2 linked regions of the Tribolium castaneum genome follow. The protein of the gene in region 1 purifies or fractionates together with the protein of each later gene. This does not show direct contact. Links are inferred from orthologs where the notes say so. Each region holds a gene or a part of one and is shown in the gene's direction. Other genes may lie near its edges.

Evidence for each region.
Region 2: the proteins of Dredd (region 1) and uncharacterized protein LOC103312947 purify together in Drosophila melanogaster (affinity purification with western blotting; 5 studies listed by BioGRID, with this or other methods). This does not show direct contact. The link is inferred for Tribolium castaneum from reciprocal best matches to the Drosophila melanogaster genes Dredd and Fadd.

Annotation. Positions count from the first base shown.
Region 1 is NC_087398.1:10,951,057-10,968,325, reverse strand, and holds Dredd (caspase-8), read left to right. Parts: upstream 1-7,615; 5' UTR 7,616-7,727; coding exon 7,728-7,827; intron 7,828-7,836; exon of another isoform or gene 7,837-7,889; intron 7,890-7,939; coding exon 7,940-8,064; intron 8,065-8,108; coding exon 8,109-8,900; intron 8,901-10,572; coding exon 10,573-10,789; intron 10,790-10,843; coding exon 10,844-10,984; intron 10,985-11,037; coding exon 11,038-11,365; intron 11,366-12,004; coding exon 12,005-12,071; 3' UTR 12,072-12,665; downstream 12,666-17,269. Other genes in the region: ubiquitin-conjugating enzyme E2 N, read right to left, coding at 3,384-3,839; leucine-rich repeat-containing protein 15, read left to right, coding at 6,036-7,364; thiamine transporter 1, read right to left, coding at 14,625-14,654, 14,783-15,088. UniProt on the Drosophila melanogaster protein: Effector of the programmed cell death (PCD) activators rpr, grim and hid. May play an apoptotic role in the germline as well as soma. Fadd interacts with Dredd to promote cleavage of Dredd and is necessary and sufficient for enhancing Dredd-induced apoptosis.
Region 2 is NC_087398.1:10,605,138-10,620,861, reverse strand, and holds uncharacterized protein LOC103312947, read left to right. Parts: upstream 1-6,486; 5' UTR 6,487-6,649; coding exon 6,650-6,974; intron 6,975-7,022; coding exon 7,023-7,309; 3' UTR 7,310-7,365; downstream 7,366-15,724. Other genes in the region: eukaryotic translation initiation factor 4E-1A, read right to left, coding at 7,523-7,686, 7,774-7,861, 7,912-8,089, 8,143-8,318, 8,471-8,497; Lmpt (prickle planar cell polarity protein 3-B), read right to left, coding at 11,784-12,298.

The DNA of each region.
Region 1 (17,269 bases):
TAATATTTATTAATACGTAATGTGCCGATTACGAGATATTTGTTCGTCTAATAATGACAGTTGACCAAGTCGACTTTGATATTATTCATTTTTGACATTTCCATCGATCGCATGGTGCTCTTGATAAAGTCAAAAATTGTTAATTCGTTGTGTTTCTGTTAAGTAATAATTTATTAACTCGATGTGCTCACATCCCGAATCATATCATTAGAGTCGAGATTGTTGGTGGTTGGATTAGGTTTAGAGAGCGTTGAAATTTTGTACCGCTGCATTGGTCACATCACGTCGCTTTCCCGCATAATTATTTGGACGCAACTTTAGTCAATTTCTAAGCAACGATGTATTTTAATTTACTGAATGTTTATCTCATGTGTTGTATTTTAGGAAAAAAGTTCCTTTCGTGTCGTAGACCGTGTCGCAATGTATAAGAAAATAAAAACAAACAAATGCATGTCCGTTATTTTCGGTGTTCTCACTGTGTAACTGATGCTTTTCGTGTGTTGTTTTGTTTCAATCAAAGTTTTGTTGGTAATAGTGCCGCATAAGCAATAACTGATGTGATACTATTTTTAATCAAGGTTTTTAGGTATTACGGTCCTGTGCGCGTGTTGACACAACCAATTCGAGCCGTTCGGCCAATTCATTTCTCACGTACCATAATACGTAAACATCTTGGTCGACCATTGTGTTAACAATTTATGTATATATTAATATTATTTCTCCTGACTGTTTTACTGTAGTTACCAGTCTTATTCTCTGTACTGAGGTATCTATTATTGTATTATGCGTAATGAGTTGTTAGTCCCAAAATATACTGATATTACTTCACCACTGTTTTTATTCAACCAGTCCCAATCAAAATTCCTCTCTAAATATTTTTATTTTCGTGTGAGGTAACTTACATTTTATTAAAATTATTACAAGGCGAAAGCACAGCTGAGCCCTGATTTTTTTAAATTTTGTCCAATGGCTGAATGACCCTTATTTCGGTTATTAAAGACAACTCATACAGAGTGTTCCATGATGTTCTACATAATCTTAAGAAGCTTTCGCCGGTAAAATTCAATCAACATTGCATATTCCAAAGCGAACTAGATTATATTTTTTTTTAAATTAGCTAGTCTTCAGTTTGTTAAAAACTCCTTAAAACAATTATTTTTAATTCACTAATTTTTTTGTATAATCTGATTCTTACATACAGGGTTATTTACATAAAAAAGCTTGATGACTTGTCTAAGTAAAAATGCAACCTAGCATAGCATGTCCAGATTTTATATTATAATTAAATCATAAATTCAGGTATACAGAGTGTTCAAAAATTAGCGCACCAATTACAATTATGAATTATAATTTTTGTATTTACTAAAAAATAGCTATCAAAAAAATTATCAAAATAATTTATAAATAATAAAAAATATTTATAAATTAAAACACGGGGTGTTATTATTGCGTATGAAACCGTTTTAAAAGAATTTAATTTTTTTAATGACCAAATTCTATTGCGATTAGGATTGTTAAATAACGTTGCCATATATCATTTATTTTTATTTAAAGTTCCTTATTCACCAATATATTTAAGACAGATTTTTTTACTATTTTTACCTTTATATAAAAACATTCCTCCACCATACCACATTGAGTTGGTGCGCTAATTTTTGAGCATTCTGTATTTAATTAATTACACAGACTTAATTATAATATCACACCAGAAATTCAATTTGCTATACAGATTACATTTTTTGCTTGGTTTTAGTTCGGATTCTTAAGTGAATAACCCTGTATAATAATTTTGTTTTAGAAATCTCTGGAAAATCAATCTGGCATTTCAGAATTTTTTTTTTTTGAATTGACCACTGTTCCCAAAGCTTTCATAAATTTTACAACCCTAATCTGCAAGCAGAAATATTCTCCTGAGATAGAAAAAAAATTCTTCGATTTTAGTGCATTTTTTAAACAAAAACTTTCTTTCTTTCTGTTTCTTTAACCAAAATCGCAGCGTTCTGAAAAATATGAAACGGAACACAAATTCTAAACAAAAAAAATCATCCCAAACAATGTTGTTTGTATTTAATTGTCAGTAGGCCTTGACAATATTAAAAAAAAGCAAGTAGTACGTCGTACTGCTTTCCAATACCAGGGAAAGCAAAATTTATTTTTTTTTCTATAGCAGGTGTTAAACTACAATGTGTTCAAAAATGGTTGTTCATCAAGCCGACTTGATGTCGGCAAAGTTGTTTCAAGTGTATAGGGTTTGTCTTGATTTGTGTTTTACATTTCCGTGATTTTTGTTGTTTTTTGTTCATTTGTTTTTAGCATTTTTGCATTATTTTGACGTATCTGTCACTTTCACTTTCATAGGTGACTTGATGAACAATCATTTCTGAACAGTGTGTATTTCTTTTTTTATCAACTCTTTTGAGTAAATAAAACAGCACTTTAACCGCAAGGGTAGATAAAATGTTTTAATTAAAATAAATATATTTTATTCAATTAAAATTACCAATTTCCAACATATTAATATGAGGGATTAACAGATTAACAATAACTTTTTTCTTAAACTTCGTTAGTATTATACACGACGTTAAAGATTGTTTATCTGCTCGTCAAATAAGTCCATTCCTAAGTTCCGTCATTCTTGAACATAAATTCTTTTCACTCGTAGATAAACAATTTCTTTATCGTCTTGTTTAATAAATATTTTCTCATGCCTGTGACGGAAATTTTAGTCGTTTCTCAGTTTATTAAGAAGCCGCACCAAATTTTTGACGACAAAAAATCGAGTTAGTTTGTAATCTCATTTTGTCTATTAGTTAGTTAGGCTTTGATTCTAAAATAAAGTTGTTACCTACTTATTTTTTTAATGCATTTTACGTCGAATCATTTAAATTGGTCGGTTTATGGAAGCCTTATTAATAACCATTAATTTAATTTATTCAATCAGCATTAATTGAAAAATCACGTGACTGAATCGAACCAACCAGATCTCACATTCACGACTAATGACAAATTAACTTTTAACTACACATTGAATTTTAAGTTTTTCAAGTTGCATAAAGATAGTAGTAAATTTTGATTGTGAGATTGGTACAAGAAGTAATTATTTATTTCAAAAAAAAAAAAAAATAAGGAAAAAATACATCTTAATGTGTTCAAAGTTCAAACCCATTTTACACCCATTTTTTCGAACGATGATGGTTTATTAGAAGTAATTATTTCTCAACTAACTTTTATTTTTTAATAACTTGGCGAAAATAAACATGACTTCGTAATATTACATGAACCATCTGCTTGTATTTACCTTTTGTGCTAAAAACAATATCAAAAACCTCTTACGGCCGCCACTGTAAACACAAAGAACAAAAAATAGTATTTTAATTAATAAATCACTCCATGGCGTAAATCCTGGTCCAGTCCTTGGCCCTGATGATGGCTTCACTGGTCCTTGTTTTCCAAGTGTAAGCCACATCGTTGGCCAAAGGGTCGTCTGGATTCGGACTACTCAGCAAGGCTTGAATCGAGAGCAAAACGGTGCGAATTTGCAAAGCCGGCGACCACTGCTCTTTCAAAATATCCAGACAAATCCTCCCCAATTTGTCAATATTCGGATGATAGATTTTGGTCAAGAAGCGCACGTTTGGAGGCGTTAGGGGGTAGTTTTCGGGGAGGAACAGCTCGAGTCGGAAGAGACCGCCTTCGTAGGGGGATCCCTGAGGACCGGCCATCACGATGTGGAAGTAACGGCAGTTTTCATCGTCCGGGATAGCACTAATGCCAGGAGGCGGGTCTTTGGAGAGGTTCTTCGTTTCAACGAGGATGCGGCGAGTTGTGCCGTTTGCCATGATCTGGAATTTGGGTTAGGGGGTTTGGAGGCTTGGGGGAACTCAATGGAGGGGAATTACTGGAGTTTAGGGGGTGCTAGGCATTGTGACAGGTGACAGGTGTCAAATTCTCTTCGAAGGATTGATTTTTGGCTTCTTTATTAAGCTGGTGTTTTTGTAATGAACAATGAACAATAATAATAATGATTACGCAAAAAACGCGTTATCTAATGCTCTCCTGATTCTATAAGGAATATTAGTTATTCATTTCTCTTGGAACCGCAGTTATGTTTTAACATTTTAACCATTATTTCCCATTTCATTTCATAGTAGAATTTTGCAACAGAGCGCATTTGAAATAAAGCTCAAATATCAGAAAAGAGTTCTGTGTTGGCGATAAATTTTGAGCCAAGAAAACCCACCAGAAACTCTCAATTCGCGCTTGATATCGTCCCAAAAATGCAAATTAATGCGTTGTTGCAAAATTCTACTATAAACTGAAATGGGATACCATTTTTTATTTGTAATTTATTTTAATTTCGAATTTAATTTAATTCAATCACCAAATTTGCTGCTCTCTTTACCACCTTCTAATTCTAAAACTTATTACTGATTCAATACATCTTTTGAGAACTTTTTAAAGTCACCAACACAAAGTTATACACTAAAATTATTTCAACTATACAACAGTTTCATTTCCTTTGCGTCCACTCAAATGTTCGTTTTCCAATTCTGCATCGAATGATGAAAAATAAATAGTGGTTTCCATTTAAGATTGAAAAACTTATTGGAAGTAAATTATGAACACTCTGTAGCAATTCAGATCAATCAAACTTAATTAGTAAGTCTCTTGGACCTTGTTCAACACGCACTTTGTAATAATTTCATTCAAAAAGCTCGGTTTCCTTTATTATTATTATTGTTATATTATTATTATTATTATTATTATTATTATTATTATTATTATTATTATTATTATTATTATTATTGTTATTATTGTTATTATATTATTATTATTATTGTTATTATATTATTATTATTATTATTATTATTATTATTATTATTATTATTTCCTAATTTTTTAAATTAAAGATGTAAAACCATTTTTTTTGCAGCGATATGAAAAAACTTTAGGGACAGGTAAGAAACTAAAGGGGTATCTTAATGATCGCAAAAAGTAATAGCATGCCGTTAAAAAAAGTATCCATGAAATAAACCCACACAATAAAGGCGCACAAGAAGAAAGTCTACAGAAAAAGCCCACACAGAAAAAAACTCACACCGAAAAATATTCATACGGAAAAAAACACATAGAAAAAAACATACAAACACAAAAGCCCACCCAGAATGAAAAAAGACCATTCAGAAAAAAAACTCACATGAATAAAAGCCCCACTGTCCAAAAAGCTCACGGAAAAATTAATTCACTGGAAAAAAAGCACTTTCTGCAGTCGTCGATACATTTATAAAAATTATAATTATTCGGATAACAATAAAAATATTTTAGAATCATTTTTTGTTACAATTCTATTAAAGAAAAGAGTAAATTAGTATAATGAAAAGGGATACTGTGCAATTTTTTAGACAAAGACATCTTATTTTTATTTGTTGTGATTTTTTTCTTTTAGTTATAAATTTAAAATTTTGGAAAAATTATCACGGCTTTTCAACGTCTAGCTTGACCTAAACTGAGTGATCTGTCCGCATCTATCATTCTTTTCGCATTAATTTGTTGAATTGTTAAAGTGATGTAGGGGAGAGTAGAGTAAAATGATCCCAAAAATCAAGAAAACTAGTAGTAGTAAGGTAACATTATTTTCTGGCCAAAAAGTAGTATACGTAGTAAGAAAAGAAAAATCTGGTCAAATAAAATAGAACTGCACAATCTGATACACTTTAATGTGTATCTTAGTTGTTTTATTAATACAGCTAGCATAATCTAATGCAATTTTCAATTAGGTGTAACTGTTTTTTCAACTACATAGAATTCTCTTAAAAGATAAATAGCACAAAACAATTTTTAGTGCAAAATTTTAAAATTTTGCGCCAATTATTGTTTGCACGATGAGTCAATTATAATTTCTCAATTCTCAGCGTGAATTATGCAGAACTTATCACAACATCTTTCTGACCCTGAAGCCACCAACTACGACCTTCAGAACTCTATTTACATTCCCATCATCGATAAAGACTACCAGTTTTCAAGCTACTGTTAAAATGTTAAAAACAACTGTGATTTCTTTACTTTTGATTGGTGTAACACGAGCTGAAACCATTTCTTTCAAAAATGTAACACTGGAATGGAAAACAAGCACAGATCGTAACACCACAACCATTCCATCATCAGCCAACCTTCGAGACAACATCCCAAAGCTTCAGACCGAGATTTCGGTGGTTTTGAGTGGTTTAGTGCCTGTTTTATACCCAAAATCAGTGAGTGGTGTACCAACTTTAAAATCACTAACAGTATCAAACGTCGGCTTGAGAGAAATAAAACCAGGAGCGATTGAAAATTTACCACTTCTGGCCCATTTGATTTTAAATCGCAATGAGCTCAAAGTTATTGAACGAGGAACTTTCACAAACTTAAACCTGACAAGTGTGAATTTAGGTGACAATGAAATTTCCAAACTCGAACTTGGGGCTTTCAAAAACCTCAAAATTCACCATCTCACACTCAGTAACAACAAAATTTCTGAGATTCGAAACGGGACTTTTGAAAACGTCTCACTCCAAAGCTTGAATTTGTACGGAAATGGGCTCCGAAAAATCGACGGACCAATCACAAACTTAACAAATCTGGTCCTGAGCAACAACAATTTGACCGAAATCGATTTGCATTTCCCTGATTTAAAATATCTCGACTTGAGTTTCAATTCCATTCAAGTTCTAAAGCCCGGAGACTTGAAAAATCTTCCCGCACTGGACACGTTGGACCTCACCGCTAATACCCTTCACCACGTCCCTGAAGGTGTCTTCAGTCAGTCGAAACTGGTAACTTTGAAACTAAATTACAACCAAATCGCGAAAATCGAACCCAAGTCATTCGACGACATGTCTCAGCTCAGTGTTTTGCACATCGACCACAACAACTTAACCCAATGGGATGACAAATGGTTGAGTAATTCCCCCAAGTTGGCCTACATTTTCGCCGGTTTTAACCGAATTGGAGCTTTGCCGGGCCAAGCCTTCCGGAATTATCCCCAAATGTACAGCATTGATTTGCAAGGAAATTTGATTAAAGAAGTTTCACGGGAAAGTTTCGCGGGGTTGGAGAAAGTGGTGAATTTTAGTTTGAGGGATAATTTGATTGTGGATTTGGACCCAGAATGGCTGGCTAATGCGACGGTGGGAAGTGTGGATTTGAGTGGAAATAAGCTGGGGTGTGTGGAGGGAAATTTAGAGGAGGCTTTCAGAAGGGTGGACTTTGTGCATCTGGAGGGGAATCCCTGGCGGGAGGATTGTGTGGAAAAGATTAAAACATTTCTTTCCCAGTGGCCAAAAATAAAACGCATTGTTAGTTCTGTGTCACAACAACCAATTTGATCTAATATTGATTAAAAACTTTGTTTGTAGTTTTATTGTTGTCCCAGAGCGAAATTATTAAATTTACCGCCTGTTTGAATGGCGTTCTACACGATTGCGTCCTATGTTTAGTAGGATATTTTCTGTTTTGATTAAGAATTTAATTAAAGTATTAACGTAAAAAATTAAATTTTGTTGTTCCAAATCAATTCGCAGCCAATTTATCGATATCGCAGTCATCTTTTTATTGATTTACTGTTTGGCTCATGTCCTTTGATTAAAACCTAGGGATTTTTCGCATGGATGCCATCACGGGGAAGTCCCTTGTTGAGTTACGTGTTTTAATCAGTTTATCGAATTAATTGTTATTTAAAACCAACGACAATGGGTGGATTGTTTTCAAGCCAAGGAAATGATTATTCCGACGATTCGTGTTCCGAAGAGGAAAGCAACGAGGTGTCGTGCAAAAATCAACCTACCTTTGGTAAATTTGTTTATCAACTTTTGATCTCAAGTGTCATTTTTTGCAACATAACCCCACTTTTTGTTACGTATTTAATTCCAGTAATTTAGTATTAATTTGAGCGATGTTTTAGATGAGGACAATTGTTTGGACTCCACTGACACCATAGACGCCAGTTTATCGCAACCAGCGATGCCAATAACGCTAAATGTGGACCAAGTTATGTCCATTGAAAACGACTTGGATGACTACGAGAAGGTAGTTATTTCTGGGAGCTATCCTTTAATAAAGAATGGTTACAGGTGGCCCTTGTGTTTTTGATTTACGAAGACCCCAAATCTGCGTTTGTTCAACTAACGAAATTGCTCCAAGGGTCCCATGACAAACTCTTGTATAATTGGGCAATTCATGAGAACTTAGCCGGTCGGAAGTGGCAAGAAAAGCTGGTTGAGGCACTTTGCATCATCCAGAATTACCAAATCATATCAAGTTTGGGCTTCAAACGGGAGGATTTAACCGCTCGGTTTTTACCGCACCACATTTTCACGTACGCCTATGTGAACAAAGTCAGAAAGGCCCTCTATTTCGTCTGCGAGGCGTTGCAGCAGAAGGACGTTGAGAATTTGCTCAACTTGGCGTGTAAGGACTTCAGGGAGAAGGGGCTGGATTTTAAGTGCATTAATGCGCAATTTTTGGAGTTGTATTTGCTGCATTGGGAGACTGTGGGGTACGTAAAACTGGACGATTTGAGTAATTTGTGTAGAGTTCTCAAGCAAATTGACCAGTTGGATATTTGTGATAAACTGAGAGAAATTGTGCCAATTGTGCACAAATCTGCTGAGAGTAGAAGTGTAGATAAAAGAGTAGATTCTAGTGAGAGTGAAAAAAGACAGTCAGTGAGTGTGTTTGAGGGAATTTTAGATCCAAAGTCCAGTTTGCTTAGTCTGGCCTCGCTGGAGACGTCGCATATCAGTGCAGACAATGCAGCTTTTGTCAGCGATGAAAATAAATATTTTATTGATCCAGAAAGACCTGGCATTTGTTTGATCATCAATCAAGAGAATTTCTACAGAGAAGTGGACAGAAAATATCGAGTAAGTTGGGGGAGAGGTGTTTTGTACCATGCTCTCAAAATTTCTGATCAAAAATTGACAAAAGAAAAAAATATGTAAGGTTCTAAGGAGTAACTGTTGATTTGTCATTGTTTTTTATAGTTAAAAGACCTTTAATTAAGCTCTGTTTTCTGCAAAAATTACGAAAATCCTTGTAGGGATTGTCACTTGCATTTGTCTTGCCAAGGTATTTTGAGAAAACAAAAAAAAATTATTAATGCGTTAAGCAGTGATTGTAAGTTCATCATTTTTTTACAACCAAAGGGTGTTTTAAGAAAATATGCTTGGAAAAAATACTGTTTGCTTGTGAAAACTTAAGAAGAGTAGGTAATAAAAAAAATTACAATTGTATGTTCTTTCTAAATCCAATCTTAATTATTATCTCTCAGACTAGTTGATATCTCGTATTAAATATTTGTAACCAAGCATTAACGAGGTAAAAACTAAAAATAATTTTAGAGTTTTTATAAAAAATAAACGTTTAAATGAAAAAATGAAATGAAACTGTATGCTGTTTTCTAAATAAAATAATAAATGGGCGGTCTATTTCCAACAGGTAACATCTCTAGCTTTACTTAACTTTTCAGGAAACGAGTGAAACGTTTCCTGAAAATAAAATAAAATAATAAAAGTAAGGATAAGAATTTAAGTATAAGGTTTTCATAATTTTGATTAGCATAAGTTAATGCAAAAGAAATGCATATTTCTGTATTAATAAAGACAAGGACAAGCTTACAAAATTAAGCGAATGCTTCTGCTAATTGTTTGACTTATCAAATTATAGACAACTGGAGGCAAAAATAAAAGCTGCAGCCATATACAGAGCTTAATATGTATTTTTTATACAATTTGCAATAATTTAATAACTTATTTTTTAAAGTAAACAAGTGTAAAGTAAACAAAATCATAATATAATAGTCCTCAAAAGTACTCACATTCACATTATTTTCAATTATTATTTTTTGCAGGCTAAGAACTTTTAAATTCATAAATATAAAAGATTTTTTGTTTCATCTGTTTTTGAAGTAAAGGCGTTAATAGATGAAGATCTAACATGTCGCGGTGGAAATTTTTTAAGAGTATTCCATATTGAGGGAAACTCTTCTTGTATTCTTCTGCTGAATTAGCTCCATTCTATTCCATTAGGAATTTTTGTTAATGTAGGATTAGGTATTCCCCTATAAAAGTTTCATAGCTTTATTTTTTTATTGCCAGTTACATTTTTATCTGTTTTTTTTTTATATATAGCAGTATGTATGTTTATCAATTATTTTGTAATAATTTTACTATAACTAAAAATTCGGATTCTTTTTTCTCACGCAAAGATTCATGATAAGATGAGAAATCCCGAGGCATTCTACAATGGTATAATTAATAATTATTCTAACTGTAGAGTATTTTATTTTGCATCTTTTACGTGTCTTCCTTCTCTTATGAAATCCTTAAACCAGAAATTAAATTCAATTTACTTGAAGGAAGTGATACTTCAAGTTTTTTAAGTGACACACAAGAGACAAACAATTCCTTAGAATCATAAGCAAATGCTTTAAGTAAAAGCATTTTATTAATACCACCCATTAATCCAGTCTTTCCGAGTCATTTATTTGATCAGAAATTTAGTAGAAAGCACTTCGTAATGTTTCTTCATTACTAGCACTTGCTTCCACGCCGGGACAACAAATTAGAACTTAGGATTGGTACACAATACGACCGAGACAAGCTTGAAGCCACTTTCCGACAATTTGGTTTCAAAACTATTGTAGAAAATAATCTCACTCATTTGGAAATGCTACGAAAAATAGAAGAAGTAGTGCAAAGCGTTAACGATGAGTCGAGCCTTTTCATTTCTATAATGTCTCATGGTGATGTAGGTTGGTTGATTTATTTTCCTTGTGATGCAGTTATTTATCTTTTATCTCTATTAGGTGTCGTTTACGGCGTTAATAGTTGCCAAGTCGACGTCAAAGCAATTAAACGTGTGATGTGTACCAAAAATCGCCCACATTTATCGGGGAAACCCAAAGTTTTAATCCTCCAGTCTTGTCAAGGCACCAGATGTCAAAAAAGTACGATTGGTTGATTCTTGTAACTTTATAAAAATTTATTTTTATTGTATTAGTTCAGTCAGATGACGATGACATTGAAACAGACGGTCCTTCGTCACCTGTCCAAGAATCAGTCCCGCCAATAGCAGATTTGTTCACTTTCTGGGCCACAGTTCCAGGCTATGGTGCAATAAGGAACAAAAAAACAGGATCCTGGTTTATTCAGTCCTTGTGCGGAAAAATGAAAGAATTGGGGCATAAGTACCATTTCGATGATATCTGCACCAGTGTTATAGGGGACGTAAGTAGGAAAAAATGGTGCCAAGAGAAGGACGAAGTGGCAATGGTGCCAGAAAAGGAGTCCACATTCAGGAAACTGTTTTATCTGCCACCCGTTAGAGTGTAAGTTTTTAAAAAATTATTAAGCAATATGATTTTTAAATTAAGTTGGTGACACTGAAAAACTGAAAAATGTTGCTAACTTAATTTCAATTATATTTAATTTTTTTAATGAAAACTCAAATAATTTTTGTTCAAAAAATAAACCAAAAAATTCGAAAACAGTCTTTTATTAACTCATAAAAACAGTGCATTTAATACTGACTAATTGCGACCTAATCAAGTCTAACTGTCTGCTTTTCGGTAATCTCTCTTTGAGCTCAGCCAACTCGCTAATCCAATAGCGATGTATATCACACTAATAGCGATATGGAAAATCCCATATACGAAATACTGATTTCGGGGGCCTAGGGCAAAGCCCACCCCTTTAGTGACCACAACCATCGTCAAAATCGACTGAAACGCCAACGCAACAAACGTATTAATTCCAAAAACCAGCCCATAACTGTCCTCCTTAATGCATTTGGCGATTTCAGCGCTGGCTATCGTAATCATAAAGTGGTAAAGCCCCCCAAAGGCTATATAACAGATATAACTCAAAATAACGTATTTAGTTCGCGACGTATAAAGCAGAATGAATCCGCTCATCAGCGAGCACAGCGTCAGAGCCAACTCGCCCTTCATTTTCCAATCCACCCTCAGAACGCCGGCCAGCAGCGCCCCCATGAACCCCAGTACGGTCAGGACCGACTCAACAGCCCCGTTGTAAATGGGGATAGTCGGGTCGTCCTGAATCGTGTTCCACAGCACTTGCATGTAGCACTGGACTTGGATGAAGCCGCACGTGGAGAGGGCCCACCAGAAGGACCATTTCAGGACGTAGCGGTTGGAGAAGGACTCCACCAGGTGCGTTTTCATCAGAGTGAAAGCGTTGAGGAATTTTCGCGAGTAGCGCTCGTCGATTTCCCGGTGGAAGTAGATGGTTTTTCGGACGGAAGGCAGGAAGAGGCTCCAGAGGGTGGCCGCCAGCATGGACGAGAAGGTGATGTAGTTCAAGTCGCGATAGGTCGCGCTGTCGAGCGAGATGAGCAATTGGGCCACGATGCCGGAGATGGCGCGGCCAGCGAGGATGGCAGCCCTGGTGTGCGAAGTCACCTGCTGGTAAAACTCTTTGGGGACTTTGGCGTAGATGTAGGTGTAGTAGGCCACCTCCGTGGCCATGAACGTGCCATAGAAGACCTGTTAGTTGTGCAATAGTTACATCACAAGTTGCAAAAGGGAAAATTTCCACTCAAATACGCAATTATAATATTCCATTGTGAACACAAATTAGCCCAATTAAAATATATTCACTTAACACAGATTAGAGACCTGCTCACTGCTATAGAATTTATAATTGGAGTAGGCAGATTTTTATGATCGTTAAACTATAGCGCAAACTGAGGGAAAAATGTATTCCGATTGAATCTAAACATTACTATTTGACTCTTCAGCTTGATCAGTTACTATAATCGGCGTTTTCATTCAAGTTAAAAAACTAATAAAGCCGACCCTAATTATAAATTCAAATAATCACATGGTGATTAAAGTAGCAGCTACTTTATTTGTTCCCTTGAATCAAAATTTTCTGAGATAAACGTGATTTTTCTAATTACCGTTTTCTAATTACCTTATTTCTACCAATTCCCGAAAAGTGGTTAAAAAATAAAATAAACTGTTTTTTGTAAAGACTCGAAATAGAAAAATAGTGTTAAATAAATACTGCTGTGAAGGAAAAATTTAGTTTTAATACAGGGTATTTCAATTTTTAGTGCCAGTCAAAAAATAAATACTTCTAGTTGCCCAGAATAAAAAAATTATATCGGCAACAATAGAGTTTCTAATACGCTTCAGTTTGATGCGTATAAGCGTAAAATGCAAAAAACTATTTTAATTTTTTTTTGTTTCCAAATTATTGAAATCGTTTTCTCATAATAAAACTCTTTTTTTGTGAGAATTCCGAAATTGATATAATAAAAAACTTAAGGCGATTTGCGCAAATGAAATTTTAATGTGGTTAAGATTTTAATTCCTGACTCCAAAAAATTTAAGCACACTGTTGGCATTTTTTTTTAGTTTTGAAACATACATTACTAAAGAACAACTCGTCAGACTACATACCACACAAGTTTTATTGTAAATAACTATTTTTAGCCGCTTTTCGCGAACTGACAAACATTATTTTGACCTAATTAATACTAATAAATTGTAAATACTTTACAGTAATTTATAAAAAAACAACTTTATCTTACAAAACTTTGATTTAGAGAACAAATCGGTTAGCTGTTGGATTTAAAACGCCAAAGAAATGACGAATATTAGGACTAAATTGCTAAATTCTAATTAATCTCAAGCGATTTAAATTATAAAGAAGCTATTTTTTCGTGAAATTAATTAATTCTTTAATTATTTACCATATTTGGACCTCGAAATATTTGCAAAAAAATTAAGCTCCAAACCTAGAGAAGACGGACGCCACTGCCCATGATTTTTTTTACATTAACTGTAACTTTGTTTTCTTTCACCAAAAACTTATTTGAACTATTAACTTCATTTCGTCTCGACTGTCTCTTAAAATAAAAAACTTTCTCCTATCTTGAAAAGCTCGCTACATAAAAAAATATGCTACAAGAAAATTTTTAATTTTTTAGTTTCTTTTGTATACTACGTTAAAATGTATATTTACTGGAGAATCTTTTGCACAAACAAAGTTGCTAGCTTTATGCAGAAGGAAGAGATGTAAACAAAAAATTTGTCCAATTTTAGTTTTTTCTAAATTTTTTGCTTTACGTTTAATTAGGTATCCTAAACTCTGTTAATTTGAATAATTGCAAAAAAGTCAAGAGAACATTTTTATGTAAAATTTTATTCTTTACAATTTTTATTCAAAACTTTTTTCTTGTTCTAACCAATTTTGAATATGTACTAATTTAAAAAAACACTATTTTCGAAAAATTGTTTACTTCACAATAATAACTTATATCAAAAATGTAAGCTTATGCTCAACATTTTGATTTAAAGGGTTATTTATTTCACTGGACTAAATTACACGAACTGAGATTATGTAATTGCCACGATTGTTTTTCACAATAATAAAAGTATTTTCGCCACAATAGTTGATTTTTCTCTTGGTTTTGGGGCCGAGCGGCCCCTCTGCTTAGCCCTAGCCCCAATTAGCACGACTGTGTGGCTTTTTTAAGGATTTGCGAATTGAGGTTATGTAATTCTTGGGTCCATTTTTGCCAATAAAAAGTATAATAGCGCTAGTTATCGCAATTATGGATTATTTTTGGATAGAGCAGCCCCTCGGCGCCTGAAATGAAATATATGATGCAACTGAGCTACATTTGAGGTTATGTCTCTTATCAGTGGCGCCTAATTTGAATTTTTTTGCTACCAGCTAAATCGAGAGCTAAAAATTTCATGCTTGATCGGTCTTACTTCAAGGACTTGTAGTTCGAAGAGGCTCTTGGTCCACAGTAGCATGCTCCATACCACCACCCCCGAGAGTCCCAACAGGACAATCAAAGGTTTGTACCTGCACAGGTCGGTAATGAGGAAGGCCACAATCGATTGGGCCAAGTAACTGTATGTTCCCACTGGATAGACTTGTTCGGTGACTTCCTCCTTGCTGACATTCCTCCAAGGCCCCACCAAGAACTCGTAAACGAAGGGTTCGGACGGTCTGATCTCCTTCAGAAAGCCAAAAATCGACAAAAGGAGCGAAATTTTGAACCAATCGTTCATCGCGGCGATTTCGATTTAAATTAAGTACCAATAGCCACAGTCGGAGACACAGCAAAGTAACATGACCTCTGTTTTTCGGACGTTTTATTACATCACACCATCAGTCAGCGATTTCGCCTATTCAGGGGTTAACAAGCTTCAAGTTACACGCATTATTTAAAGCAATTTGTGCAATATTACTGAATCGAAGGTTATTTAACATTGTGAGTGGGGACCTCGGCGCGTGTTTACCCGAGCTTATCGTATGTTTTTGGCGAATTACGCATCCTTAAACCGTATCGCTAAAACAAACCCAATAAAATCATGTTTATTGAACAAATTTTCCCAAAAGTTGTAAACCGATTTGAAAAGCCCGCGCCGGATGCGATTGGCTACAGCTGTTCCAAGGTTACGTCTTCAACTTTCTAGCGACCGAGCGCCATCTGGCCCAGCTTTTCCGAACCAATTTTCAAGTGTTGTCTTTGGGGCCGTATTTTTCAAAATTGGTTAAGTTTGCGTGTGTGGGGCTCCCCGAACTTGGGGTTTGTTGAATGGGGCGCCTTTTTGGCGGGCTCTTAATTGACGAAGAGGGCGGGAAAGTGTGCCAGAGAAGTTAACGAGTTCAGTGGTAATCCGGCCATGTTTATTGCAGACAGAAACTGGAAAGTAGGCTTCGCGTTTGTGTATTGTTTTGAGTGAAAATTTTCAATTTTTCCGACTTGATGTGGTTTATGTGACTATTTTGAGGAGCATGGAGTCAACAGATAGAGGTATGTTATTCATTTTTGCCCAGATTTAGACACACTGTGAGGGATTCCAGACACAAAGGGCAATGGCAAAGTCAGGGTCGAACTATTTGGTTCACTGACCGCATTTACAACACGACCCCAAATTTACACACAAACCGAAAAAAAAACACAAAACAAGCCAAAACACACGCCAAATTCACCGAAACGACTCGAAAAACCCCCGAAATTTTAATTTCTTGATCCAAAAAAATGTTTCCATTACTCCACCAAAAGTCCCATAGAACATAAACCGGGTCCTAAGAACAATTTTCCCAAATTTCACTTTTGTATTAAAAAAAAACAAGAATCTAAATATTGTAGATTTCTTTCCGAGCAACAAGTGCCAGAAGATCCGGACAGGTGTCGCAACCAGTCAAGATAATTAATTCCCGCTGGCTCGAATTCCCACCCGTTCAAATAATTTTCCTGACCTGACCTGATTGCTGTATCGAGCTGACAGCCTTGACCTAAAATCGGAGCTGCGAAGGTCACCCTACCCTTTAATAAATTTTGATTTATCGAAATGAGATTCAAACTTTTTACAATTCAGATGTGATCGAGCAAAAAACGGAGATAAGTGCGATAAATTCGTTAAAAGATGATTGCGCAAAATATATTACAAACAAATGAATAGGCATGAAGATTGTCTATTGTTTCGTTTGTTGGTGGTTTTTCGTTCATGTTTTATAAATTTTATTTTCGATGTCGTCCTTGGGATTTGACAAGGTGATGGTAAATATAAATCTGGAAATGTTTCTGCTTCATTTGACTTGCCGAAACGTTTAATTAATTACAGTACGACATTCCAATTAAATATTTTTGGAGAGTAATTTCTCGTTTCTACGTTTCGGAGTGATGCTTTTAGCGTCACAATTAGTTAATTAAAGGTAAATTAAGTAATAACTGTCCAATAAACTCTTGCTTCTTTGAGTCGATAACATCAAAAAACACAATGTTGTAAAAGATTGTACATCATTGACCTTACCCGAGTGTTTTTTGCTTGGCATTGGGTTTAATTGACAATTTAATAATGGAAATGATTATTTAAGACTGATAAATGTGTTACTATAGTTGAGCTAATTTCGGATGAATAAACTTATCGTGATTGTTATCAATTTTTTATTCAATTTTCGTAATGTTACGAAATTTATTGAATGATCGTTTTTATGCTAGAATTTTATCTTGTGAGTTTAAATAGTCTTGTTTTATTACATGAAAGAGTCAATTTGAAGGGAGAAACAGAATGTTTAAACAGAGGTGACCTATTTCCGTGATCACGAACATCGAAGGACGGACAGTTTATCAAAAAGTTTATCTGTGTTACAAAAAAACTCGACACGATTTATTATTTTTTAAATTAATTGTTGAAAATAAGTGCAGTTGTAAATTTTACGACCAGCGATTTTAAACTGAC
Region 2 (15,724 bases), about 340 kb from region 1:
GCGATATGAAGGTAGGTGTATTTTATTGCTGTGTCGTATTTATTTATTTCACAAACCAATAATTTTATAAAACTTAATTGCAATTAAAATCTTTAAATGCGATGTTGAAAAGTGATAGTTTGAGTGACACATTTTAAATTCAGTAACTATAAATAAAATAAAACACTCAAATAATTTATTGCCACGTAATAATTTTGCCTTGAATTTCAATGAATGAAAGTGGCTTGTTCAAAATTTAATGCAAATAAACATTCATTTTTGGCTTCATTTTTATTATTATTATTTTTAATGCTACAAACGGTAGCCAACGTGGATGCGATATGAAGGTAGGTGTATTTTATTGCTGTGTCGTATTTATTTATTTCACAAACCAATAATTTTATAAAACTTAATTGCAATTAAAATCTTTAAATGCGATGTTGAAAAGTGATAGTTTGAGTGACACATTTTAAATTCAGTAACTATAAATAAAATAAAACACTCAAATAATTTATTGCCACGTAATAATTTTGCCTTGAATTTCAATGAATGAAAGTGGCTTGCTCAAAATTTAATGCAAATAAACATTTATTTTTGGCTTCATTTTTATTATTATTATTTTTAATGCTACAAACGGTAGCCAACGTGGAAGCGATATGAAGGTAGGTGTATTTTATTGCTGTGTCGTATTTATTTATTTCACAAACCAATAATTTTATAAAACTTAATTGCAATTAAAATCTTTAAATGCGATGTTGAAAAGTGATAGTTTGAGTGACACATTTTAAATTCAGTAACTATAAATAAAATAAAACACTCAAATAATTTATTGCCACGTAATAATTTTATCTTTAATTTCAATCAATGAAAGTGGCTTGCTCAAAATTTAATGCAAATAGACATTTATTTTTGGCTTCATTTTTATTATTATTATTTTTAATGCTACAAACGGTAGCCAACGTGGAAGCGATATGAAGGTAGGTGTATTTTATTGCTGTGTCGTATTTATTTATTTCACAAACCAATAATTTTATAAAACTTAATTGCAATTAAAATCTTTAAATGCGATGTTGAAAAGTGATAGTTTGAGTGACACATTTTAAATTCAGTAACTATAAATAAAATAAAACACTCAAATAATTTATTGCCACGTAATAATTTTATCTTTAATTTCAATGAATGAAAGTGGCTTGCTCAAAATTTAATGCAAATAAACATTCATTTTTGGCTTCATTTTTATTATTATTATTTTTAATGCTACAAACGGTAGCCAACGTGGATGCGATATGAAGGTAGGTGTATTTTATTGCTGTGTCGTATTTATTTATTTCACAAACCAATAATTTTATAAAACTTAATTGCAATTAAAATCTTTAAATGCGATGTTGAAAAGTGATAGTTTGAGTGACACATTTTAAATTCAGTAACTATAAATAAAATAAAACACTCAAATAATTTATTGCCACGTAATAATTTTATCTTTAATTTCAATCAATGAAAGTGGCTTGCTCAAAATTTAATGCAAATAGACATTTATTTTTGGCTTCATTTTTATTATTATTATTTTTAATGCTACAAACGGTAGCCAACGTGGAAGCGATATGAAGGTAGGTGTATTTTATTGCTGTGTCGTATTTATTTATTTCACAAACCAATAATTTTATAAAACTTAATTGCAATTAAAATCTTTAAATGCGATGTTGAAAAGTGATAGTTTGAGTGACACATTTTAAATTCAGTAACTATAAATAAAATAAAACACTCAAATAATTTATTGCCACGTAATAATTTTATCTTTAATTTCAATCAATGAAAGTGGCTTGCTCAAAATTTAATGCAAATAGACATTTATTTTTGGCTTCATTTTTATTATTATTATTTTTAATGCTACAAACGGTAGCCAACGTGGATGCGATATGAAGGTAGGTGTATTTTATTGCTGTGTCGTATTTATTTATTTCACAAACCAATAATTTTATAAAACTTAATTGCAATTAAAATCTTTAAATGCGATGTTGAAAAGTGATAGTTTGAGTGACACATTTTAAATTCAGTAACTATAAATAAAATAAAACACTCAAATAATTTATTGCCACGTAATAATTTTATCATTAATTTCAATCAATGAAAGTGGCTTGCTCAAAATTTAATGCAAATAGACATTTATTTTTGGCTTCATTTTTATTATTATTATTTTTAATGCTACAAACGGTAGCCAACGTGGAAGCGATATGAAGGTAGGTGTATTTTATTGCTGTGTCGTATTTATTTATTTCACAAACCAATAATTTTATAAAACTTAATTGCAATTAAAATCTTTAAATGCGATGTTGAAAAGTGATAGTTTGAGTGACACATTTTAAATTCAGTAACTATAAATAAAATAAAACACTCAAATAATTTATTGCCACGTAATAATTTTATCATTAATTTCAATCAATGAAAGTGGCTTGCTCAAAATTTAATGCAAATAGACATTTATTTTTGGCTTCATTTTTATTATTATTATTTTTAATGCTACAAACGGTAGCCAACGTGGAAGCGATATGAAGGTAGGTGTATTTTATTGCTGTGTCGTATTTATTTATTTCACAAACCAATAATTTTATAAAACTTAATTGCAATTAAAATCTTTAAATGCGGTGTTGAAAAGTGATAGTTTGAGTGACACATTTTAAATTCAGTAACTATAAATAAAATAAAACACTCAAATAATTTATTGCCACGTAATAATTTTATCTTTAATTTCAATGAATGAAAGTGGCTTGCTCAAAATTTAATGCAAATAAACATTTATTTTTGGCTTCATTTTTATTATTATTATTTTTAATGCTACAAACAGTAGCCAACGTGGAAGCGATATGAAGGTAGGTGCATTTATTTACTGAGGTATTGAATTTGATTTGAATTTGAATTGCCACATATTGAAAAGTATTGTGTATTTTTTATTTTGTTTAATATTGACAATCATTGCTTGTTGTAACTTTCATGCAAATAAAGATTTTTATTGGTGTTGTTTTAATTTTTTAAATGTCTTGCTACAAACAGTAGCCAACGCAGAAGCCATATGAAGGTAGGTGCATTTTTTTGCGTTTTATCTTGTGATGTGTTGAATATAATAGCTTGTGTGCCATATATTATACCGTATTGTGTATCCTTTATTCTGTATAATATTTATTAAAGACGCTTGTTGTAACTTTCCTACAAATTAATTTTTTTGTTGGTTGTGTTTTTAATTTATTTTTTAGGTGTGCTACAAATGGTAGCAGATGCAGTACAAAAGGTAAGAGCATTTATTTAACGCAAAGTGAAAAAGGTTTGATTTTTGTGTACTATTTTTTCATTTCACAAACCAATAATTCCTTTATTTCCTTCATTTTCAAATAATCATTGTTTACCTCATCCTTATATCCTTTTTTCCTGGCAAGAATGCTCTAAACCTCCACGTGGTTCTTGCTGGAGAAATTTGTTATTGACTAATTTTTAATTTTTAATTAGTTATTGACTAATTTGACCAATTAGAGCAATCCTTAAATATAACATTGTTGATTGTTTTTTACAGCCGTAAAATTATGTCGCTTGTTGTAATTTTCATGCAAATAAAGATTTTTTCATTGGTGTTGTTTTTAATTTTTTTTAATGCTACAAACGGTAGCCAACGTGGAAGCGATATGAAGGTAGGTGTATTTTATTGCTGTGTCGTATTTATTTATTTCACAAACCAATAATTTCATAAAACTTAATTGCAATTAAAATCTTTAAATGCGGTGTTGAAAAGTGATAGTTTGAGTGACACATTTTAAATTCAGTAACTATAAATAAAATAAAACACTCAAATAATTTATTGCCACGTAATAATTTTGTCTTTAATTTCAATGAATGAAAGTGGCTTGCTCAAAATTTAATGCAAATAAACATTTATTTTTGGCTTCATTTTTATTATTATTATTTTTAATGCTACAAACGGTAGCCAACGTGGAAGCGATATGAAGGTAGGTGTATTTTATTGCTGTGTCGTATTTATTTATTTCACAAACCAACAATTTCATAAAACTTAATTGCAATTAAAATCTTTAAATGCGATGTTGAAAAGTGATAGTTTGAGTGACACATTTTAAATTCAGTAACTATAAATAAAATAAAACACTCAAATAATTTATTGCCACGTAATAATTTTATCTTTAATTTCAATGAATGAAAGTGGCTTGTTCAAAATTTAATGCAAATAGACATTTATTTTTGGCTTCATTTTTATTATTATTATTTTTAATGCTACAAACAGTAGCCAACGTGGAAGCGATATGAAGGTAGGTGCATTTATTTACTGAGGTATTGAATTTGATTTGAATTTGAATTGCCACATATTGAAAAGTATTGTGTATTTTTTATTTTGTTTAATATTGACAATCATTGCTTGTTGTAACTTTCATGCAAATAAAGATTTTTATTGGTGTTGTTTTAATTTTTTAAATGTCTTGCTACAAACAGTAGCCAACGCAGAAGCCATATGAAGGTAGGTGCATTTTTTTGCGTTTTATCTTGTGATGTGTTGAATTTAATAGCTTGTGTGCCATATATTATACCGTATTGTGTATCCTTTATTCTGTATAATATTTATTAAAGACGCTTGTTGTAACTTTCCTACAAATTAATTTTTTTGTTGGTTGTGTTTTTAATTTATTTTTTAGGTTTGCTACAAATGGTAGCAGATGCAGTACAAAAGCTAAGAGCATTTATTTAACGCAAAGTGAAAAAGGTTTGATTTTTGTGTACTATTTTTTCATTTCACAAACCAATAATTCCTTTATTTCCTTCATTTTCAAATAATCATTGTTTACCTCATCCTTATATCCTTTTTTCCTGGCAAGAATGCTCTAAACCTCCACGTGGTTCTTGCTGGACAAATTAGTTATTGACTAATTTTTAATTTTTAATTAGTTATTGACTAATTTGACCAATTAGAGCAATCCTTAAATATAACATTGTTGATTGTTTTTTACAACCGTAAAATTATGTCGCTTGTTGTAATTTTCATGCAAATAAAGATTTTTTCATTGGTGTTGTTTTTAATTTTTTTTAATGCTACAAACGGTAGCCAATGTGGAAGGGATATGAAGGTACGTCCATTTTATTTTTGTGTTGTTGTCTTTTTATTTCACCAACCAATAATTCCTTAAAATTTAATTGCAATTACAATGTTGTGTACACCGGCTCTAAATACGGTGTTGAAAAGTCATTGTTTGAGTGACTCATTCTAAATACAGTAACTATAAATAAATCAAACACTCAAACAATTTATTGCCACGTATTAATTTTGTCTTTAATTTCAATGAATGAAAGTGGCTTGCTCAAAATTTAATGCAAATAAACTTTTTTTTTTTTGGTTTCATTTTTATTATTATTATTTTTTTAATGCTACAAACGGTAGCCAACGTGGAAGCGATATGAAGGTACGTCCATTTTATTTTTGTGTTGTTGTCTTTTTATTTCAGAAACCAATAATTCCTTAAAATTTAATTACAATTACAATGTTGTATACACCGGCTCTAAATGCGGTGTTGAAATTAATAATTTGAGTGCCATTATATATTGAAACGTACTGTGTATTTATTATTTTGTTTAATATTGATAAAAGTAGCTTGTTGTAACTTTGCTACAAACAGTAGCCAACGCAGAAGCGAAATGAAGGTAGGTGCATTTTTTTGTGTTTATCTTGTGAGGTATTGAATTTAATAATTTGTGTACCATATATTATAACGTATTGTGTATTCTTTACTTTGTGTAATATTGATAACAGTTGCTTGTTGTAACTTTAATGCAAATAAAGATTTTTTTAATGGTGGTTTTAATTTCTTATTAATGTTTTGCTACAAACAGTAGCCAACGCAGAAGCAATCCGAAGGTAGGTGTACTATATTTTTGTGTTGTATTTTTTTTTCATTACACAAACCACTAACTCCTTTATTCCCTTTATTTTCTAAAAATCATCGTTTACCTCATCCTTATATCCTTTTTTCCTGGCAAGAATGCTCTAAACCTCCACGTGGTTCTTGCTGGACAAATTAGTTATTAATTTGACTAATTAGAGCAATCCTTAAATACGAGTTTACAAAATCCAGAAATTTTATAAAAATTAAAAAAAAATCGTTAAGGTCCCAAGGGGTGTTTGTCAGAACATGATTGTTTTACGGTCGAAGGCCCTATTGGAGGGCTTAATCTCCTGCAAAAATAAAGAAAATTGGAAGATATAAAGAGAGTGTATTGCTTGAATATGAGAATAAATGCAGAAATTAAATGCAATTAAGTTTTAATTTGTAATAGAAACACATTAGAATGGTCAGGAGATGTTTTACAAATGTGATAAGCAAGTCAGCGTAACAGCTTGTTGACGAATGATTTACGATTATTTTGATAATTTTTCTGGTGTGAACTTGGCTTTAGAAAATGAGTATGGTGGGCGCAGCAATTGTCTGGTCGACTGTAATGTTCATAGTACCTGCATCATTTTTGGTGCTATCTTCACCGACATTGGTAATGTGACGTTTAGAAATGACACTGACAGATTGAGGTTAAAAATATGCCAAAATCGACCTAAAAATAGGAGTGTGTGATGTTTTAAAGACTGATTCATGTAATTGCTTGTCTCTCGGTTGATTTGAGCTCTAAAATAATGTCAACGAACTCCAATTATAAAATGCTGTGCAATGAAATTGCAAGTATACGTTGTCCAAGTGAACAATTGAAAATCCTGAAGGAGAGGTACCAAACTGTGATCAACTCTAACAGAAGGTTGGAGAACATAAGGTCGCTGTCAGAGCTAATTAAAGTTTTGGAAAAACGAAATTATCTCAACTCTAGTAACACCCAGGCTTTGAGTGACATAGCTAGTGAGTTTAAACAACCGGAAGTGTTACACAGTCTCAGAAATGTTCAAATTGAAGACAATCACGTTAATTGCAACGCTTGTAATAGTCATAGTCCAGAGGAATACTCAGGTAGTCGCCTCACTTTACTGTAATTATAATGCAAAAATGTGAATTTAGGTTTTGTTAGAATACCAAAAAGTACCAAGGATAGGGTGTACAAATGCATAGCCGAGGGAATCGGCCAAAAATGGACCGACTTTGCTCGGGCTTTGGGCATCCCTGAGGGCGACATAGACGACTTAAACACTGTGAGGAGCACATCAGCTAGGGCCTACAAGATTTTGGCTTTTCACGAACAAAACTGTGATAGATATAGGTGGCGTAGTAAATTATTGGAAGCTTTAACGGACGCAAGGCGGAAGGACCTCAGATTGAAAGTGCAGGATATATTCGATTTTCCATAATTTATAATTGTTAACGAGCTGTTGTTATTTTTATAAAAATATAAAGTTCAAACAAGTGTCTCGTCTTTAATTATATACAAACGCAACAATATCCTGGCATACAAAACGAGATTAATAAAGTAGAAAATGAAATAAATATATTCAAATAAACCATGGGAAATCAATACCAATACGAACATTCTCAAAACGAAAACATTTCAACGGTTACTCTAATTAAACGGTGTATGAATTCTTGGTAACGGAACCAGACTTGTCCTGAGTGTCTTTGTGGATTTGGTATCCTAAAACCGTCCTTGGCGGTATATGCAGCCGCTCCTTCAGTTTTTTGCCGATTTCGATGACAGCCGCGCTTTTTGTGGCGTCGGAAGTCCAGACCCCTGAAATCAACAAATCGAAGTGACCCATGACTTGTTAAGTTGGCAACAATTACTACCCAATATCGCCAACCTAGATTAGTCACCTACCGATCTTATCACCCTTTCCTCGAATATTGACTACCGCCCCGCAGATTTCATCCGAATGCTCGAACGCTTCCCCAATTAGACACAAGATCTGAAGGAGGTCAAGTGTGAAATTTAATCGGACGTTATGCAAGAACTTACAATATCAAGCCAGTACCGGTCAAGCTCGTTGGTCCTCTGTTTCTTGTCTAAGTTAATAAGCCAACGCCCCCCGCGTTTGTTCGCTTCATCCTCCCACATGGGCCTGATGCCCCTCTTGAACAGGGAATAGTCGTTCCCTTGTCTCAGCTCACTTGCGGGCTTAATGTGATTGTATAAACTGAAATTTGCCACAAGTAGCACTCATCACCGTGTCCTGAACACAATAACTACCTCCAGAAGTCCTCAACGGTCTGAAACGAGGCGATTTCCTTCTGGTTCTTCTCCCACGTCTGGCTCCTGTCATTCTCGTAGTACCAAAGTGTCCAGCAGTTTTGGAGCGGGTGTTTGATGGAAAAATCCTGCGCGATGTCTATGTCGTTCTCAGTCTTTAGGTCGTTTTTTTCGTTCTGTGGCGAAGCAACACAAAAAATTACAAGGGATGGTCATGTGAATGCAATATGGCAGAATTGCCGGGGCTGTGACAAATCTTGGAAAATATCAACAATTACCGATTGAAACATGACCCAAAGTTTTTATAGTTGGATTAGCAGGGCCTTACCTCGCTTTCTATCGAATTTGAAGACATTTTCTTAAAGTAATTCGCTAATCAGCGCGATGAAAGTTGGTTGCTTTTCCACCTATCACCGATTCTGTGCCAACTTTGTAAAATGAAGGAAACCGGCCGGTTGCATAGTGCCACACCAACAGCGGGATTTTCAAATACCAAACTTAAGCAGATTCAAAAAAACTTCCTTAAATACAAGCAAACGTTTATTTTAAAATGTACCAAAAATCATAAAAACTCGCCAAAAGTGCGAATTAAAATAGCCATTTTATAAATTTAAACAATTGATATATGTATATAATGTGTTGCCTACCCTGTCAGTGTCCAAATTAGATGATTTGTAGGCTTAAATAGCAGGTGGATAATTTTCCTATTGACCGTTATTAACTATACATATGAATTGCCTGTCATGTTATGTTACAATTTTGTAATCGTGCGATACTGAACCCATTAATCGACCATCTTTCTAGTACAGGCAACCAAATATACGCAGCAATTAAGCAATCTTTTTTGAAATGTAGGTTTCAAATCTGATATCCAAATTTAGAAGTTTTCATTTTAGAGCAGTAATAGAGCTTATGAAAAATGCGGAAAGTTCTAATATAATCAATCACAAAAACTTGAGCTGGTAGGAAAAATCTGTCGGTAATTTTAAAATCAGTCCAACAGTTAACAACAGCAAAAAATCAGGGCACAAAGAAGTAAACCAAAAAATAGGTGCATTTTTCAAATAAATTCTAATATTAGTTACCTACCTATATCTCAAAAGACTAGATCTGATAGAAAAATTCTGGTGGCTGTTTCAAAAACAGCAACCAACAGCAAAAAAATCTAAGCAAAGAGAAATAATTAAAAGTGGTGTCCGTTTAATTAAAAAAACTAACATTAAGTTCTCTTATCTCAAAAACTAGAGCTGATAAAAAAAATCTGTTGGCAGTTTCCAAATCAGCGTCCAACAATTACAAAACAACAGCAAAAAAATCTAAAACAACAAATATGTAACCTAATGTCTTAGTTTTTCTACCCCCATAACCCTCATCTGCATGGGTTCAGACATGTACCTATTCTGCATACAGCGTTGGCCAAAAGTATGGAACCAAGCGATTTGTGCTTAAACTATGTACCTTACGAAAAAACTAATTAGTACATCATTAATTACATTTAATTATAACAAGTAAAGCGCCTGGCGCCTGCCTTGTAGCCGCCTGTTGCATTTATTTTATTTTTTTATTTATTATATTTACACTATTTGGTCAAACGGACGAATTGTAGTTTTTCGTGTAAAATAAATAAATAAAATAAAAATACATATAAATTTTGTTGTTTTTTTTATAAACAAAAGTTGTACAGTAAAACCTCCCTTAATGGACACTTCCGTCTAGCGGACACCTGTTTACAACAAACATTTTTGTAGGAACATAACAAAAGTTACAACAGACCCACTGTATAGCTGACGCCGACAAAAAATCTCCAATTACCACATATATAAATTTACCTGTTACAACGAACAGACGAAAGAGTAGCTCAAAAAAACAAAATTTGTTTTATAAACCATGTAGAAATAGATGAGAAATTATATATAAAAAATCCAGATTTATTTATGAATAAGTGACGAAAAGATGAAAATAATAGTATAATAATAAATAATGGCAGAACTTGCCTTAGCACTCATTGTCTGAGACATTTGAAGTTGTTCAAAAAATAGCTAAAATTATGTCTTGTAAACAACCAAACAATTAAAAAATAAACAAAAAAACTGTTTATTTCCTTATTTAATTTTAATTAAAAAAGATTTCTACTTATATAAACATGATTAAAAAAATTAAAGAATGAATACATTCTAAAAAACACGTTTGCGTGTTAGATTGCGATTTTAGCAGATCCAATAAACCTTTTCTGTAAGCACTGTCTGTCAGAGTCAGAGTTTCATCTATTTGTTGATTTAAAAAAAATAATTGTTTATATTAAAAGTGACCACCTTTTATTAGCGAACACCTCTCCACAACGGACAATTAAAGATTCCCAACGGTGTCCGTTGTTGAGAGGTTTTACTGTATTGTAAATTTATCATATAATTATAAGTAATAAAAAAAACTATGCAGATAAGAGATAATGGCTTCGCTAAATTTTGTGGCCTGTACTTTAATAACAGTGTTACGGGTTTTTGACCAATCAGAAGATCCTATGATATGACAAACACGGGGCAACTTGTGGCCAATAGAAATGTAACGACATGACAGCAATTATTATAGATTGCCTTGAGCGTTTGACACTAGTCTGACGTTTAAAATCAACTCCAACATTTTAAAGCAACTTATAATTTTTATTATGACCGCTCAAATCATAGAAAAAAAAAAGTGTGTACAGCTCGCATTTAACTCGTACGAGTTAAGTATTTAGTATTTTGTGGCAATCATTAATAAAATACCATGAAACAAAAAACCTTGATTCAATAATTTTTATTAATTAAGGAAAATCAACGAAAAACTATTGTTCTGTTGGCTAAATAACGACTAAGATGAGAGTCTTTGTTTTCTTTCAGATATTTATTGTGGAATTAAATATAACAATATCCCTAAAGCAAAGCCCTGTACTTGTATTTAAAAGCATAACAAATTTTTAACAATCCAAATTTACCAATACGTACATTTTACAACTGAAAGTTAAACTCTAAACGAATATTATGTATGTTTATTTATCAATATTAATAGTAACATTTCTGTTAATGAAGCATTTAGATAGAATTTACTGAAAAACAGTAACTAGAAATTAGGAAAATAATAATAAAAAATTAATCTAACTACTCAAATAGCACCAAAGTTGCTCATTTCATAAATGCTATGAAGCTGTGTACATTATCTACAATAGTAATAATAATATACAATAAAAAATTGTCAAAACACTTACATTAACAGTTAAGAAGCAATAACAACCGTAATTTATAACAAATATATATGTTTAATATTCATGGGTCTCTACTACTAAATTTTTAAGGCAACTGTTTGGATAGGGCACAGCTTCCTTGATCCTCGACGTACTGTCATTGCACGAATCAAGGAAGCTGTGGTGTAATGTCAAAATTTAGAATATCCTACGTCCCAATCAACTCTGACGTCATGTTATAATATGGCAAACAAAAATAAATCCTCCAAAAATAAATACATTTACTCTAAAAACAGCGTATCCTCGTTTTTTTTTGTATTTTTCTTTTATGTTTTTTTCGGTGGTGTAAGATGTGTGTGTGTGTAGTGTGTGCGTGTCACGGTGCTATGGTCACTGATTAAAAAAAAACAGAAATCTGTAAAATCTACATCAACTTTTGCTTGGCGCATTCGGGACAGATGATGTCTTCCTGGTCGGTGATGAAGCCACGGCCCACTAGACTGGTGCGGCACGAGGCGCAGAAGAAGCAGTCGTTGTGCCAATGCCTGTCCTCGAACGAGATGAACTTCGTGCCCCCGATGCCGGTGATGGGCTTATTGCAGGCGAAGCACCGTTTGGCGAACAGCTCGCCGAAGCACTCGGCGCAATAGGGCTTCTCGTCGCGGCTGGTGAAGCGCTCGCCCGCCAGGCTCTTGGAGCAGTGGGTGCAGGTGAAGCACTCCCTGTGCCAGGGCTCGTTCTTGTACGTCACGCCGCCGCTGGTGATGACCTTGTTGCATTTGATGCAACGCGTGGCGAATTTCTCTTCGTAACACTTGGCACAGTAGATCTCTTGCTCGCGAGGAATGAAACTCTGGGTACCGATCGGTACTTTGCATACGCAACAGCAGAAGCACTTCTCGTGCCATTGCCTCGTCTTGTATTCCATCTTCTTTGTTCCTGAAAAGCACAGTGTTAATGCGATATGTGGATAGCAAGTTGATGGTTGAAGTTTTTGCTGGCACGTTACGTGGACTTGAGATATTTAGTCCAGTGACTCAATAAGATTTTACCAAAAGAAAAATAAGAGCGAACTGTAAGATAAATGAGTTGTATCTTCATAAAAACGTGAATTCGATACATAACTTGGCAAATCGTTGCAATAATTATTCCTTCTGCGATTATTTAGTTGCTCTTGCACTTTAAATATACTCTAAAAATTGGCATTTTGTCGAAAAATTTGCGGCAATGGCACTGATCTGTGAGAAAATGTAAAACTGCGTCGTAACAACTTAAATCGAAAGAATAATTACACAAAAATTTACAGCAGAAATTATGAATGAGATGTTTGAACAATTCCTATAAAATTGAAATGCTCTCCTGGTTTTTGAAAAAACAAATAAAAATAAACTTTGTTCATTAAACTTAACAAATATTTCCTTCTTTTTTTTAAGAAATTGTAGTATATCAGATAATAAATTTTGAGGTGCTGCCATAGAGTAGGCCTTTGAAGAGATGTGAAATTATAAGTATTATAAGTATAAAAAATCTTCGAAATTACGATGGCTTGTACATTAAAAAAAATCAAAAAAATACAAACACATTCAAAAGATCGATCCGAAAATATCTGAAACTTTTTTCAGGATGCTTCGATAACAGTTCAAATAATTTATAAAAACTGCCTCTTGAATAGTCTTTGGCTAATAATGGGATTAACCCAAAATCGCTTGTTTTTTGATTTCTGCCTAATCATTAATAAATTTGGTGTCAAACATGCAGTTTTAATAACACTCATTTTGACACTGCAACTATTTGGTCGCTAAATGTGCAAGGTGCAAATTTGTTACTGTTATAATACAGACTGATCCAGAAACACTGTATTAGCACAGATATTAGCAATTTTTTAAACTACATATTCTCAAAAACCAAAAAAAAAACTTTATTAGTAACAAAAATATGAAAATAAGTTCTTAAACTTTTATCTAAAAATACAATGTGTTCAAAAATGCTTGTTCATCAAGTCACCTTTGCAATGTGCCGCCTAATTTAAATTGTGAATACCGTCAAAGTGACAGATCCGTCAAAATAATGTAAAAATACTTCAAATTTAAGAGAATACATAACAACAAAAATCGCGGAAATATAAAACACAAATCAAGACAAACCCTACACTTAAAAAAACTTTGCCGAAAAGTGCCAAAAAGTGAGTAAAAAGCTAGTTCAAAGACTTGACAGAAAAATTACGATAGTCATTTGAATGATTTTAAATTTCATAGTCAACTTGATGAACAACCATTATTGAATACATTGTAAATCAATCAGTGACAGAACAAATGAACTAAATTTCAAGGAGTATAGTTAAAGTTGAAACGGTTGCCTCAAAGCTTAATCTACCCTTTCTTAAAACAGTTTTGAAATGATTTTTTTTGACTGTTCTTATTCGAATTTGTTCCTAGTTTATTTTTTTCATCTCTAAATTTTCTTAAATTACTGGTTTACTGACATTTTTTTTTCAAAATAAACGTCAAGTTCTTTTGTGAATATTAAAATTACCTGGAATGAATTTGTTGGTGGTACCAACGTTGCAACATTGAACATTTCTGTTTAATTAAAAAAAAAAACAGATTTTACTATATAAAAAGTAAATTTAGCATCACCCAGAAACGCTTTCAAAATTATTTACGTTAATATCATGCAAGCACTGCCCCTTTAATTCGGAATTAAAAACAAAAAAATGCTATAACGTTACCAACAGAAATTATAAGTGTTTGAAACAGTTTTAAAAATTTTATTTGAAAACAATTATATGTATTACTTCGTGTCATAGATTACAGGTATTTACTGAAGTAGGAATGCAATTGCGACAAACAAAACAAATCGCATTTTTCCATAATACCACTTTATTACCACCAAAAGATTAGACGCTTGTATAACATTTTTTAAAGAATGTTATATCATCTTGCTGGCAAATACAAAACCAAGGCTACACCTTTTCCAATTGTAGTTCAGAACGTATTGTATTACGAGCAGATTAATGTCAGAAAGTATCAAATGTATTTCAGAAAAAAATGTAGTTTTTACAAATGAAATTGGCACAGTCAGTAGAGATTCGGAAATAAATTTCTAGTTATTTAACAAAAGAAAAACATTTTCTTTATGATATAAAGGACATTAAAGGAAAATTCGAACCTCGGCAATTTTCAAAGACTAGATTTTTTACAGCGAGTAAAATTTTTAATTACCGGAAACATAACTACACACTGTATTTCATAATTTGTGTGTAGTATATTTCCTTCCTCCACAGTCTATTTATATTAAAGATTTAAAACACACAGGATGTTCGCGAAGTAGTAAAAGATAACGAAAATTAAAAAAAATCTTTTTTTTTAATTTTGGGAGCCGATCCTGTTCAGATTTAAAAAATCAAAGAACCATTGGCGGTAATCAACAAAAAGTATTACAACTGTCATATAATTAGTCGGGAGAGCTCACAATTACAGTGATACTGATAACAGATTTAGTGCAATTGGTATGGACAATGCAGATGCGGTATTCAGAGAGAATAAATATAAGAATATATAAATGTAAAAATAATAACAATAATATAAGAATAATAAAAGTAACATTATTACTGAAAATCTTGGTATCTATAGTAGTGTGGTAGATTATTTTGAAGCGCTCATCTTTATGGCTCATCTTAAAGCGGTAGAAGCGGATTCAAAATTTTAGAAAATTTAAAAATTGTAAAATTAGTTATTAAAGATAAAACATTTATTTGGTCTAAATCAAATTAAAAATTCATGTGCTCAAAACGTCTTGGATTTTTTACTATTTCAATTTCGGAATTGTCACTTAAAAAATAGGAGGAATTTTATTATAAAAAAAGATTGCAACAATTTAAAAACAATTTTTTTAATATAGTTTTTTGCATTCCACGCTCTTACTATGAAAATTTGTTATAACGTTAAAGCATCAAATTACTAAAAGTATTTATTTTTTTACTGGCACTAAAACTTGAAACACCCTGTACATAGTACCTCGTGTTAAAAGGGACGCCTCAATATAGCAAACACCCTTTATATTTTTTAAATAATTTTTGACAATGAAAACTAAAAGTGAAGTCTTTGAGAATAATTTATTTTGAGAAGCATTTTATCCCAAGTATTTTGTGCAAGGTCTTCTTCTAAAGAACTATTTGTCCCCGTTTGCTTGAACGAAGTAGAAAAAATTAGTGTACATTTATTATTTAATACGATAGTGATTTAATCAACTGATTTGTTAATAAAGGCAACTATAATCGTTACTGTTTGAAGCACGAATTATCGATAAGAAACGAGTTGATTTAAACATTTTTTCGTTGACCGCAAACTTTTTTATCCTGGTAAC